3 linked regions of the Zea mays genome follow. Each later gene encodes a partner of the first gene's protein in a complex. Links are inferred from orthologs where the notes say so. Each region holds a gene or a part of one and is shown in the gene's direction. Other genes may lie near its edges. The genes, in order: 30S ribosomal protein S13, chloroplastic-like; rps4; 30S ribosomal protein S31, chloroplastic-like.

Region 1 (3,729 bases):
TATAGCCCATGCTAACACTATGATCCTATAGAGGAGAGAGATCGACGACGACGGCACGAGGGGAGGAGTTGATACAGCGACGGCGGGGATGCGGAGGGAGTGGAAGGCTGAGGGCTGAGGGCCGCGAGGTTGTGAGGAGGGAGGGAGGGAGGGGTGATAGATGATCTAGATAATATTGTCCATTGGATTTGAGTAAGGGAGAGTAGAGATGGCAATGGGTAAATACCCACCGGGTATTACTACCCCATACCCATACTCACGACACAAAAATAACTCCATCGGGTCACCCATATACACTGGCGGGTATGGATTTACCCTCATACCCTTACTCATGTGGGTATGGGTCACCCATCGGGTCACCCGTACCCACAAAAGCTAAACATCTATCAAAATATTATATGATAAAAATGTCAAGTATATCCATCTAAATACCATTACAAAATTTCTAGTATCATTTAACCATCCATTCAACACACCAAAGATAATTGGATAAAGTAGTAACACTAGGATAATACTACATAGCACATTACATGGTCATTAAATTGTCGTTAAGCCTTCTATGACATTATGGCCTAAAAGGTTGTTAAATAGTAAAAAAGATGGATGACTAAAGTCAAAGTTCATACTTGGGCTAAGTTTATATTGGGTATTTTATACCCACGGGTTAACGGGTATGGGTGAAGGCGGAACGTTCTAATACCCGTTTACCCATTGGGTGAAGATTTTTGCCCAATAACAGACCCACGGGTAGAATATTTAGCCACATACATACCCTAATGGAGTAAATACCCATCGGGTATCGGGTCGCGGGTACCCATTGCCATCTCTAAGGGAGAGAGAGTTATCCAGCAATATGAACTATGGATTTTGATGGTGTGTTAAGTCTAGATATAATTTGTTTGGAATATTTAGGGCTAGTTTGGAAACTTAAATCACCTCTGAGGTTCTTAGGGATTGAGGGGAATCCTCGGGAATCAAGGAGAAGATTTAAGTTTCTAAACTAGCCCTTAGGGCTAGTCAATAGAGGTTATGTACTTATGTGTGTATATGATTTGCCTGGTGGGTTTTGTAAATTTTAAACTGATGCATTATATATATACTCATCTTAAATAATATTCCCTCTGTACCAAAATAAAATTCGTTGTAGACTAATGCTGGATTCATCAAAGATCTGAAGGGTTTACTTTATATATGTGTTGTTTTAGTTCTCAGTGTTTATGTCTATATTTAAATGAATAAAGATAAATCTAGACACTTTTAAAATACATACATTAAATATTGTATGAATATAAGATAAATTTTAATTTAGAAGAGAGGAAATACTATTTTAGAACGAACGAGTAGAAAAAAGTTATATTTTCTATTGGGCCAACGAGTCCAAAACACACATAGGGAAAGGCCACTAGGTCATCGAAGGTTGCCTACGCATACGCAACCTTATCATCATCCGCCCTTGGGTTTTCTATCCGATAGACCGGGGACGCACAGGCCTCTCGCCCTCCGCGCGGCTCCACAGGAGAGCAAAAATGGCGACCCTCTCCATGGTCTCCGTCCCCATCGCACCCTCCTCCTTGTCCCTTTCCACCCGGGGCCGCAGCTCCTCCGCATCCTTCCCCGCTAAGGTTAGTGCCGCCTTCTGCTATACCCCTATACCCCCCTGCGTCCAGGGAGCTTGTCTGATTGGGGTGTCTTGTTTTTCTAACCCTGTACGGCCTTGTTGGAATGGGGTGTAAATTAGTTTTTTAGTTTCACTCTAATCTATATCAATACATATTGATTGTGCTGAATACGAGAGTATCCAAAAACAAGGCCTACTTGGGATGGTCGTGTCAGGAGCGTTGGAAGGATGGTCTTCTGTGAACTGCTAATTTTCAATACATTGGTAGGAAATGGCGCGTGTTGGTTCATGCATATGAATTTTCTAGCGCATTGTCAGTAATGCTAGTGTTTCATGGTACAGCAGTATGACTGATTCTAGTAGCAAAGAAAAGGATGTTTCTTTAGACTTTTGATGTGGATCTGAAATTCTGAACCTGATTATAGGAGCTGTTGTTTATTATCGCTGTTGCATTGTGCGCACAGCCTGAATACGACACAAACATGAACTTCGATACATCATTAATTTATCCCCATCTGAATGACCCTTCATACCCAGGCTCATGTTGGTGGTTTATTTTGCGGTTTTTGATTGTGCTGTATGTTGGGTGGCCTGACAGAAGGGAGGAATCGGTCACGGTGGCTTGCGGATCGAGTGCATCCGTATTGGTGGTGTTGAGATTCCAAACCACAAGAGGGTGGAGTACTCGCTGCAGTACATACATGGCATTGGACGCTCACGCTCACGCCAGATCCTCCTGGACCTCAATTTCGATAACAAGATCACCAAGGACCTCTCCGAGGAGGAGGTCATCACCCTCCGTAAGGAGGTTGGCAAGTACATGATTGAGGGAGACCTTGTAACGTCCCTGATCCCTTTGTCGATTATTCGCTGCAGTTATTTGATTCAGTAGTTCATGATGATTAACGACTTGTATGGTTACCATAGTTACTTAGTTAACATATCAATGATTCCTTGAAAGCTTTGAAGTTCATTCTGCAGGTCTGCGTATTTAATTTCACTTCCTTAGTCATAGATGATTCCTGACTGTCCTAACTGTTTAGTTTTATATCGATGTTGGACTCCAAGGGAGTGAAAACGCTGAGAGCTGGCACACTGCTGTTTGGTATGCTTTACAGAAACGTTTCAACCGTGTGGCGATTGAGAGGCTGAAGGAGATTAGGTGCTACAAGGGCATCCGGCACAAGCTTGGACTCCCAGTTCGTGGCCAGAGGACAAAGAACAACTGCCGGACACTTAAGGGAAAGAGGGCTTCAGTTGCCAAGAAGAAGTCACCCGCCTCCCAGGATGAATAAATCGTATTGCCATGTATTGAAGTTCTCTCTCTCTCTCTCTCTCTCTCTCTCTCTCTCTCTCTGTGTGTGTGTGTGTGTGTGTGTGTGTGTGTAGCGCTACTACTGCTGGGTGTTTTGTTTCGAGCTTTTATGCTGCCATTGACAAATCATGGGGTAGCCATCAGCTGCTGCAGATTTTGTAGCAATGACATACTAGCTCATATGGGTCGGTTCTATAAATGAAGATCAAATTCTTGTTTACATCCATTTGTATTCCTCTGTCCCAACCTATGCTCGATGCAAGGAGTCCAGACTGCTCCTGACGAATTACTATTTACCAGATCCAGTGTTCTGGGGATTATTCACCTGCCACTGGTATACCTGTTTTCATCCCTGCACGAGATGATCATGTGGCGAAGAGTTATGATTCGAGATCTCTCCCCTTAACAAATGTAGTTGAAAAAACAAGTTTTGGCTACCCGTCGATGGTTATGTTTTTTTTCTTGATAAGGACGATGGTTAAATTGTGTTTGGTTTCAAATAAAGATGATTTGAATCACTTGATTGAAGCCATTAAGGTTTCCTGGCATTCATCAGCCCCCAACTTGCAGAGCACGGATGACGGATGACTGTGAATTTGTGATCCCGTGGTGTGCTATTTGCCGAAGCTTGCACCGGTGCACGGACACCACCACCTGCTCCCCCATCCGGCGGCACCCGGGCCGCCGCGCCCGCGCGCTCTATCCACCACTCAAATAAACGCGATATGCTCTGCCTTGCTGGCCTGCTATTGAAAATCACACGACTTCCACCGCAATCGCACGCAAAAATCCCGCT
Region 2 (2,616 bases), on another chromosome or scaffold:
TCTGTGATTAATCGTTATTACTTCGATTCGTTAGAACAGCTTCCATTGAGTCTCTGCACCTATCCTTTTCCTTTGGGTTCTAGTTTGAGAACCACTTGTTTTTCAAAAAAGGGATTTGGCTCAGGATTGCCCATTTTTCATTCCAGGGTTTCTCTGAATTTGGAAGTTACCACTTAGCAGGTTTCCATACCAAGGCTCAATACAATCAAGTCCGTAGCGTCTACCGATTTCGCCATATCCCCATTTTACTTTTCTTTGAAACCAGGATTCCTTGTATAATTTAATCCATCTCTTAGTTTTTTTTGAATCATTGAATTCATTATTCGACGTAGTCTAGCAACTCATCTCTATTTGAGACACCCCGCTCGCTTATTGCAATTCAGAATTGCATTGATTTTATCGTTGATATATTTGCAATTCAATCGGAATGAATATATCCAAAAGTTTTTCTCTCTCCCGCCTCCCTCCTTCCTTTTTTAGAGTATTCCAAATCATACTATAACGCTTGATATTCATTCTTTTTTTCTAAACTGAATTAGAAATTTCATTTGCTATGATTCTATCTTCTCCTTAGTGAACTATTTATCCTTAAATTATTAACAAATAAAAAAACAAAATATCTCAAAAATGTATATAATGATCAAATGAAAATGCCAATCTCTTGGCATTTTCTCTTTATTATATTATTCATATATATTCTTCTTTTTCTTCTTTTCTATGTATTAGATTATTCCTCCGAGCCATATCAAATTGAAAATATCTGAAATCAAATTCAATATAGAATTTGGAATAGATTCTATTAAAAAAATCCATTTGCGAATTAGAGAAATAAAAAGAAAGTTCAATAAATTCTATAATCCTATTTAAGAATATCATTTAGTTAAGCATATCAAGCTAACTTTATCTTTATGAAATTCTAGTATTTTTTTTTTTCTATCTAAGTGGAACTTCCAATTTAGAACTAGTTAATAACTAAGATTAATAATTAAGATCTGACATTTTACAGATTCCCTATATATATATTTTTATTTGTTACACTATTTCTGTTATGTAAGCCCACTTAGCTCAGAGGTTAGAGCATCGCATTTGTAATGCGAGGGTCATCGGTTCAAATCCGATAGTCGGCTTTTTTTTCTATCGATGTTCTATGAACAAGAATTTCTCTTTTTCTCCGAATAAAATGGGGAATCAGGGTCTATTATGTCGTTTTACCTTACAATTTTGCTAGATACAAAGCATAAAAATAAATAATATATATACAAAAAATCCAGATGTTGATGAAATTCCATTTTTTGTGTTACTCCATTTTTTGTGTTACTTTAGTAGATTTTACTCTGTTTATCCTTTAGTTTAATTCTGTTTGAATTTCGCTGTATTCTGTAATGTAAATAGAACGAAATTTATTGTGTAAAATGAAATTTCAATAAAATAAAAAAGGAGTCTTCATGTCCCGTTATCGAGGGCCTCGTTTAAAAAAAATACGCCGTCTGGGAGCTTTACCAGGACTCACTAGAAAAACGCCTAAATCCGGAAGTAATCAGAAAAAGAAATTCCATTCTGGGAAAAAAGAGCAATATCGTATTCGTCTTCAAGAAAAACAGAAATTGCGTTTTCATTATGGTCTGACAGAACGACAATTACTTAGATATGTACATATCGCTGGAAAAGCAAAAAGATCCACAGGTCAGGTTTTACTACAATTACTTGAAATGCGTTTGGATAATATCCTTTTTCGATTGGGTATGGCTTCAACCATTCCTGGGGCCCGACAATTAGTTAACCATAGACATATTTTAGTTAATGGTCGTATAGTTGATATACCAAGCTTTCGTTGCAAACCCCGAGATATTATTACTACGAAGGATAACCAACGATCAAAACGTTTGGTTCAAAATTATATTGCTTCATCCGATCCGGGCAAATTACCAAAGCATTTGACGGTTGACACATTGCAATATAAAGGACTAGTAAAAAAAATTCTAGATAGGAAGTGGGTCGGTCTCAAAATAAATGAGTTGTTAGTTGTAGAATATTATTCTCGCCAGACTTGAACTTAACGAAAAAAGGAAAGGTTCATAGAATTTTTTTCCCCTTCCCCTTTCCCCGAACTAAATCGACCTAAGGCTCTTAATTCGTATTTTCCCGTTCACCTAGCAGAAATAGATTAACCCTAGGATACTTTTTTCTTTTTTGTTATTTCCTCGATGTGTATTTTACATACCACAGTAATTTGCTATAGAGAATTTCTATTAATTAAAGGTATTATTGTTGGAATAAATTGTTATTTAATTTGATACATTGTGATCGCTAACATTGATGAATTAAGAGAAACGGAAAGAGAGGGATTCGAACCCTCGGTAAACAAAAGTCTACATAGCAGTTCCAATGCTACGCCTTGAACCGCTCGGCCATCTCTCCTACATAATCTTATTATGGAAAATAAACTGAGTGAATAGCGAGTTTTCGTATTCCTGCAGTACAGGTACAGCCACAACGGCTCGGGAATTCCATGGCTCTATTGGATTGGATGGAAAAATTCCTTTTCATCTAAGTGGAAGGATCCTGTATTTTTTTACTAGGAATTCTGCTCCCTCGAAAAGTTTTTCTTTGGGGAAA
Region 3 (3,767 bases), on another chromosome or scaffold:
GAAGACGCGGCGTACAAGCGACAAGGGTTACCCGCAGCCGACCATCCTCTGCGGATCGAGTTGGCAAAGCGAAGCCGTTGCCGACCAACAGACGATACTCTCGTGGGCATGCCACGCCGTTGCGCTGGCTTTATTGCATGGTGGCGTTGCTCGCTGTAATGGTTGTAAATAAAGAAGGAAAATGTCTCGGGTTTTATATATAATATACTAGCTTGACATTTCTCGTCTGGCGAATTGCCGGACTGTTCAGAATGAAGAAATCAGGGGGCCTCTACTTCTCTGCTCTATATATATCGTCTTCAATTCTCGTGGCCACCTGCACCATTCATAATCGTGAGCGTTGTTGAGGATTCATCCGTTCCTCTCCTTCTAGAGGTTCCAGAAGAAAGAAGACACATGTGGTCAGGTCATGCCATCGAACCGTCTCCACTCCGTGCAAGGCACTTTGCTTGAGGCGTTCTCCCACCACTACATTTTGGCCATCGGTTTTTTATTCATGATTGGGCACTGAAACTGAAACTCTGCTCGGTTGACATGAACCTGATAGCGACCGTTCAATCTGTGCTGTACAGTAGTGCACAGGTGAGTGCCTGACAGTGACCTTGGCAACTCCTCCATTCGGTATTTCGGTTGCTGAAATGAATTGGAATCGCTCCAGCCACACGCTCCCAAATACTACTAACTCCAGCTCCAGGACCGAAAATTGCCTGCACGGGGGTGGGGGACAGCTCGGGGCCGCTCCTTGACGCTCACCCTACCCTCAGGGTTTGTTGATGCACAAGCCATGAGCTCATCCAGTCCGGAAAGCTGGCACCTTGCACGGGTGGTGCCGTGAGGCCGGCCACCATGGGTTCAAGTGTCTGCCTCCACCAGTCCACCGCCGAAATCGAGATTCGAGAAGGACCAGAACCCTAACTCAGCAGGAGAAGCACGGGCCGGAGAACGACGCTGGAGCATCTAGGGTTTTGTTTTCTGTTAGCATGAATCAAAGCTAAGCTTTGGTCATCTTAATTATATTAATTATCAAAAAAAAGAAAGAGAAAGAAAAGGATCCAAGACCTGACCAGACTCGACGACGGCCTGGCTAGGTGTGTGCACCATACTTTACAGTAATGGCCGATAAGGTTACTTCTGGCCCAGCCCACACCAGCCCTGCAGCCCATCTTAGATGTGCGCTGTGGCTCCAACTGCGAGCCCTTTTATCCCTTATCCAACCTGATCCACCACACCACCATTCCCGAGCACACTAGTCTCTCTTCCCTGCGCTTGCTCGCTCCTTCTTGCCCCCATGGCGCTGCTCGCCGTCCAGGGCATGGCCATGTCCACCGCCGCCGCGGCCCTCCCATCTCACAACCACGGCGCCGTCTCATCCTACGTCTCCACCTCCTCCTACGCGCTCGCAGCCTCCGCCGCCTTCCCCCGCGCCCGGGCTGCGTTCGCCGTCGGCGCCGTCTTGTCGGCCACCGTCACTCCAGTTCTTGACGGTAATTAAACAGCTACCTCCTCACTCCCCTTGTTTTTGTCCGATGTAGGAGTAGTTTCTTTCTAACACATGTCACGAGCAATGGCTACTGTTTTCCACGCAATAAGGGAGAAAAGGCAATGACTACTATTACACTGACACTTGGGAAATTCGTTCCAATTCAATCGGGATTTTTCTTCTTTTTATGAAATAGTCAAGGGATTTATTACTGAAATGTACTCCCCAGAAGAGATGGAGGTTGTGATGCTGTTAGTCGATCTGGGTCAACTAGACTGACCAAGGAAAGCATCCAGTTTTTAACAAACTGGTTCATGAAAATTGTGGTGGTTCCAAATATACTAGCTTTTGTCCCAGTCTATAGAAGTTGGATTCTCAGTTTCTTAAAAACCAAGAAGCTAATCCCATCTAGCTAAAGGCAGTTTATAGAAATTGAGGTGGTTCTAAAAACTATTAACCAGTTTTTTTATAAATCACTTTATAGAAACTGAAGTTAGAAACTAGATTCTTAAAAACTAGGTTGCTTCCAAACATGGCCTAAGGGTCTGTTTGGAAGCACCTAGTTTTTTTTATAGAAATTGACGTGGTTCCAAACTAATTTATAGAAATTGGATTCCTAGTTTCTTAAAAAACCAAGAAGCTAGTCTTCTCTAGCTAAAATCAATTTATAAAAATTAAGGTGATTCTAAACACCATTAACCTTTTTTTTTATAAACTAGTTTCTAGAAACTGGATTCTTAAGAGCTTAAGTTGTTCCACACGAAAAAATTACGGTATCGAGGAGCAGGAGCATATATATGAACTGAAAACTACTACTGTAGTAGATTATTAAACCTTTACCGGTTGACTGATTCACTTCACACGGTGTCAGGAGTGAGTGCCAATCAAGGAAGCTGAATCTCTTGTTTATCACTACCGCCTATAGTTTTGGTCGTCTCTGTTGCCACTGGCCTCAGCTGTTGTAAACACTTGTTTCTGGTTTATTAATACAGAGAGTCAAAGATGGATGCTTCTCATGCGTGTACTTCAAAGAAGTTTTAGTTAATCATAATTTGAAATCAATTTCTGAAATTCTAGTGTCCATAGCCTGCTTCAGGATTTTATTCTCTGATTGTACTACGAACCCAACTGGGGTGCTGTCCCTTTTGGCCTCTGTTTATATCAATACTGATGATCCTGTGGACTGACAGACAGTTTTAAACTTTATCTGGTCTTGCTCAGTCTACTGCGGGAGAGGGGACAAGAAAACGAAAAGGGGCAAAAGGTTCAACCATTCATATGGCAATGTGAGTGCTCCAGCACAATTTACATCGCATTTTTGGTTTTTTCCCCCTGTTCTGTTTTATTTAGCTGTCTGATCATGTCTAGGCGAGGCCGCGCAACAAGAAGAAGGGAACTGGGCCTGCGCGGCTCTTTGCCCCTCCTGCTCCTCCAAGGAAGGATCAGTTCGATGATGGGGAGATCATTTCAATCGAGATTGACGAGGACATCCTGGAATAGGTTGTCCGAGTTCTGCCTTGCTTTATATTTGCCCTGAGCTTAATTGGCCTAGTTTGTACCAAATCAAATACTACATATTTTAAGTAATTATTTCCTCGCCTATAATTATCGATGGGTAGGCTGCCACACTTTCATTTGGCTAGTAATGTTCCTACTACTGACTGGGTTCTTTATTTTCCTTTCCAGCTGCTGAGTTCTTTACTCTCTTCAAAATGAAACTGTGTCGAAATAAGTTTTTTTTAGAAGATATTAAATGATTCATCTAGTGGTAACGGAGAGATTACACGTTTCATTTGTAAGGGGATTAATAAGATTTAATCTCTTTCAATCCTCTTCTAACCGAACAATCCAGCCCTAACAGGTAAAACAAAATCCAACTAGCGATTTATTCATACGTCAGCAATGTGCAAAGATCTTGCGTGCTGAACTAATGATCGTGTTGTGTTATTAATATGTGTTGCAATGATGTAAGTTTTGTTTCAAACTTCAGCTAACACTTTCAGGTCTCTTGCTATGCCAATCTCTCACGAGTGTCTCAGCAAAATATGATCCAAACAAGTTGCTGTCTCCAACTCAGCATATATGAATTTTTGCCGACTCCAACTCAGCATATAGAATTGTTTTTGCCGATACATAGCCAGAATTACAGCATAGTTGATAGAACAAAAAAAGGGAGCTGCTCGATTCTCCATCGGCAGGACCAACTTACACGAAATTTAACAGCAAAGAGACTAATTAACATACAAATATAAAGATAACCATCATCCCACATAGGAAGCATGTTTTT

Evidence for each region.
Region 2: 30S ribosomal protein S13, chloroplastic-like (region 1) and rps4 share a complex: the UniProt entries of both Arabidopsis thaliana proteins name them as parts of the 30S ribosomal subunit. The link is inferred for Zea mays from reciprocal best matches to the Arabidopsis thaliana genes EMB3137 and rps4.
Region 3: 30S ribosomal protein S13, chloroplastic-like (region 1) and 30S ribosomal protein S31, chloroplastic-like share a complex: the UniProt entries of both Arabidopsis thaliana proteins name them as parts of the 30S ribosomal subunit. The link is inferred for Zea mays from reciprocal best matches to the Arabidopsis thaliana genes EMB3137 and PSRP4.

The regions. Positions count from the first base shown.
Region 1 is NC_050096.1:271,762,927-271,766,655, forward strand, and holds 30S ribosomal protein S13, chloroplastic-like, read left to right. Parts: upstream 1-1,409; 5' UTR 1,410-1,526; coding exon 1,527-1,622; intron 1,623-2,216; coding exon 2,217-2,456; intron 2,457-2,736; coding exon 2,737-2,913; 3' UTR 2,914-3,152; downstream 3,153-3,729. Other genes in the region: uncharacterized protein LOC100281127, read left to right, coding at 3,659-3,729. UniProt on the Arabidopsis thaliana protein: Located at the top of the head of the 30S subunit, it contacts several helices of the 16S rRNA.
Region 2 is NC_001666.2:46,592-49,207, reverse strand, and holds rps4 (ribosomal protein S4), read left to right. Parts: upstream 1-1,445; coding exon 1,446-2,051; downstream 2,052-2,616. UniProt on the Arabidopsis thaliana protein: One of the primary rRNA binding proteins, it binds directly to 16S rRNA where it nucleates assembly of the body of the 30S subunit. With S5 and S12 plays an important role in translational accuracy.
Region 3 is NC_050098.1:170,389,880-170,393,646, reverse strand, and holds 30S ribosomal protein S31, chloroplastic-like, read left to right. Parts: upstream 1-1,230; 5' UTR 1,231-1,288; coding exon 1,289-1,484; intron 1,485-2,701; coding exon 2,702-2,766; intron 2,767-2,848; coding exon 2,849-2,980; 3' UTR 2,981-3,193; downstream 3,194-3,767.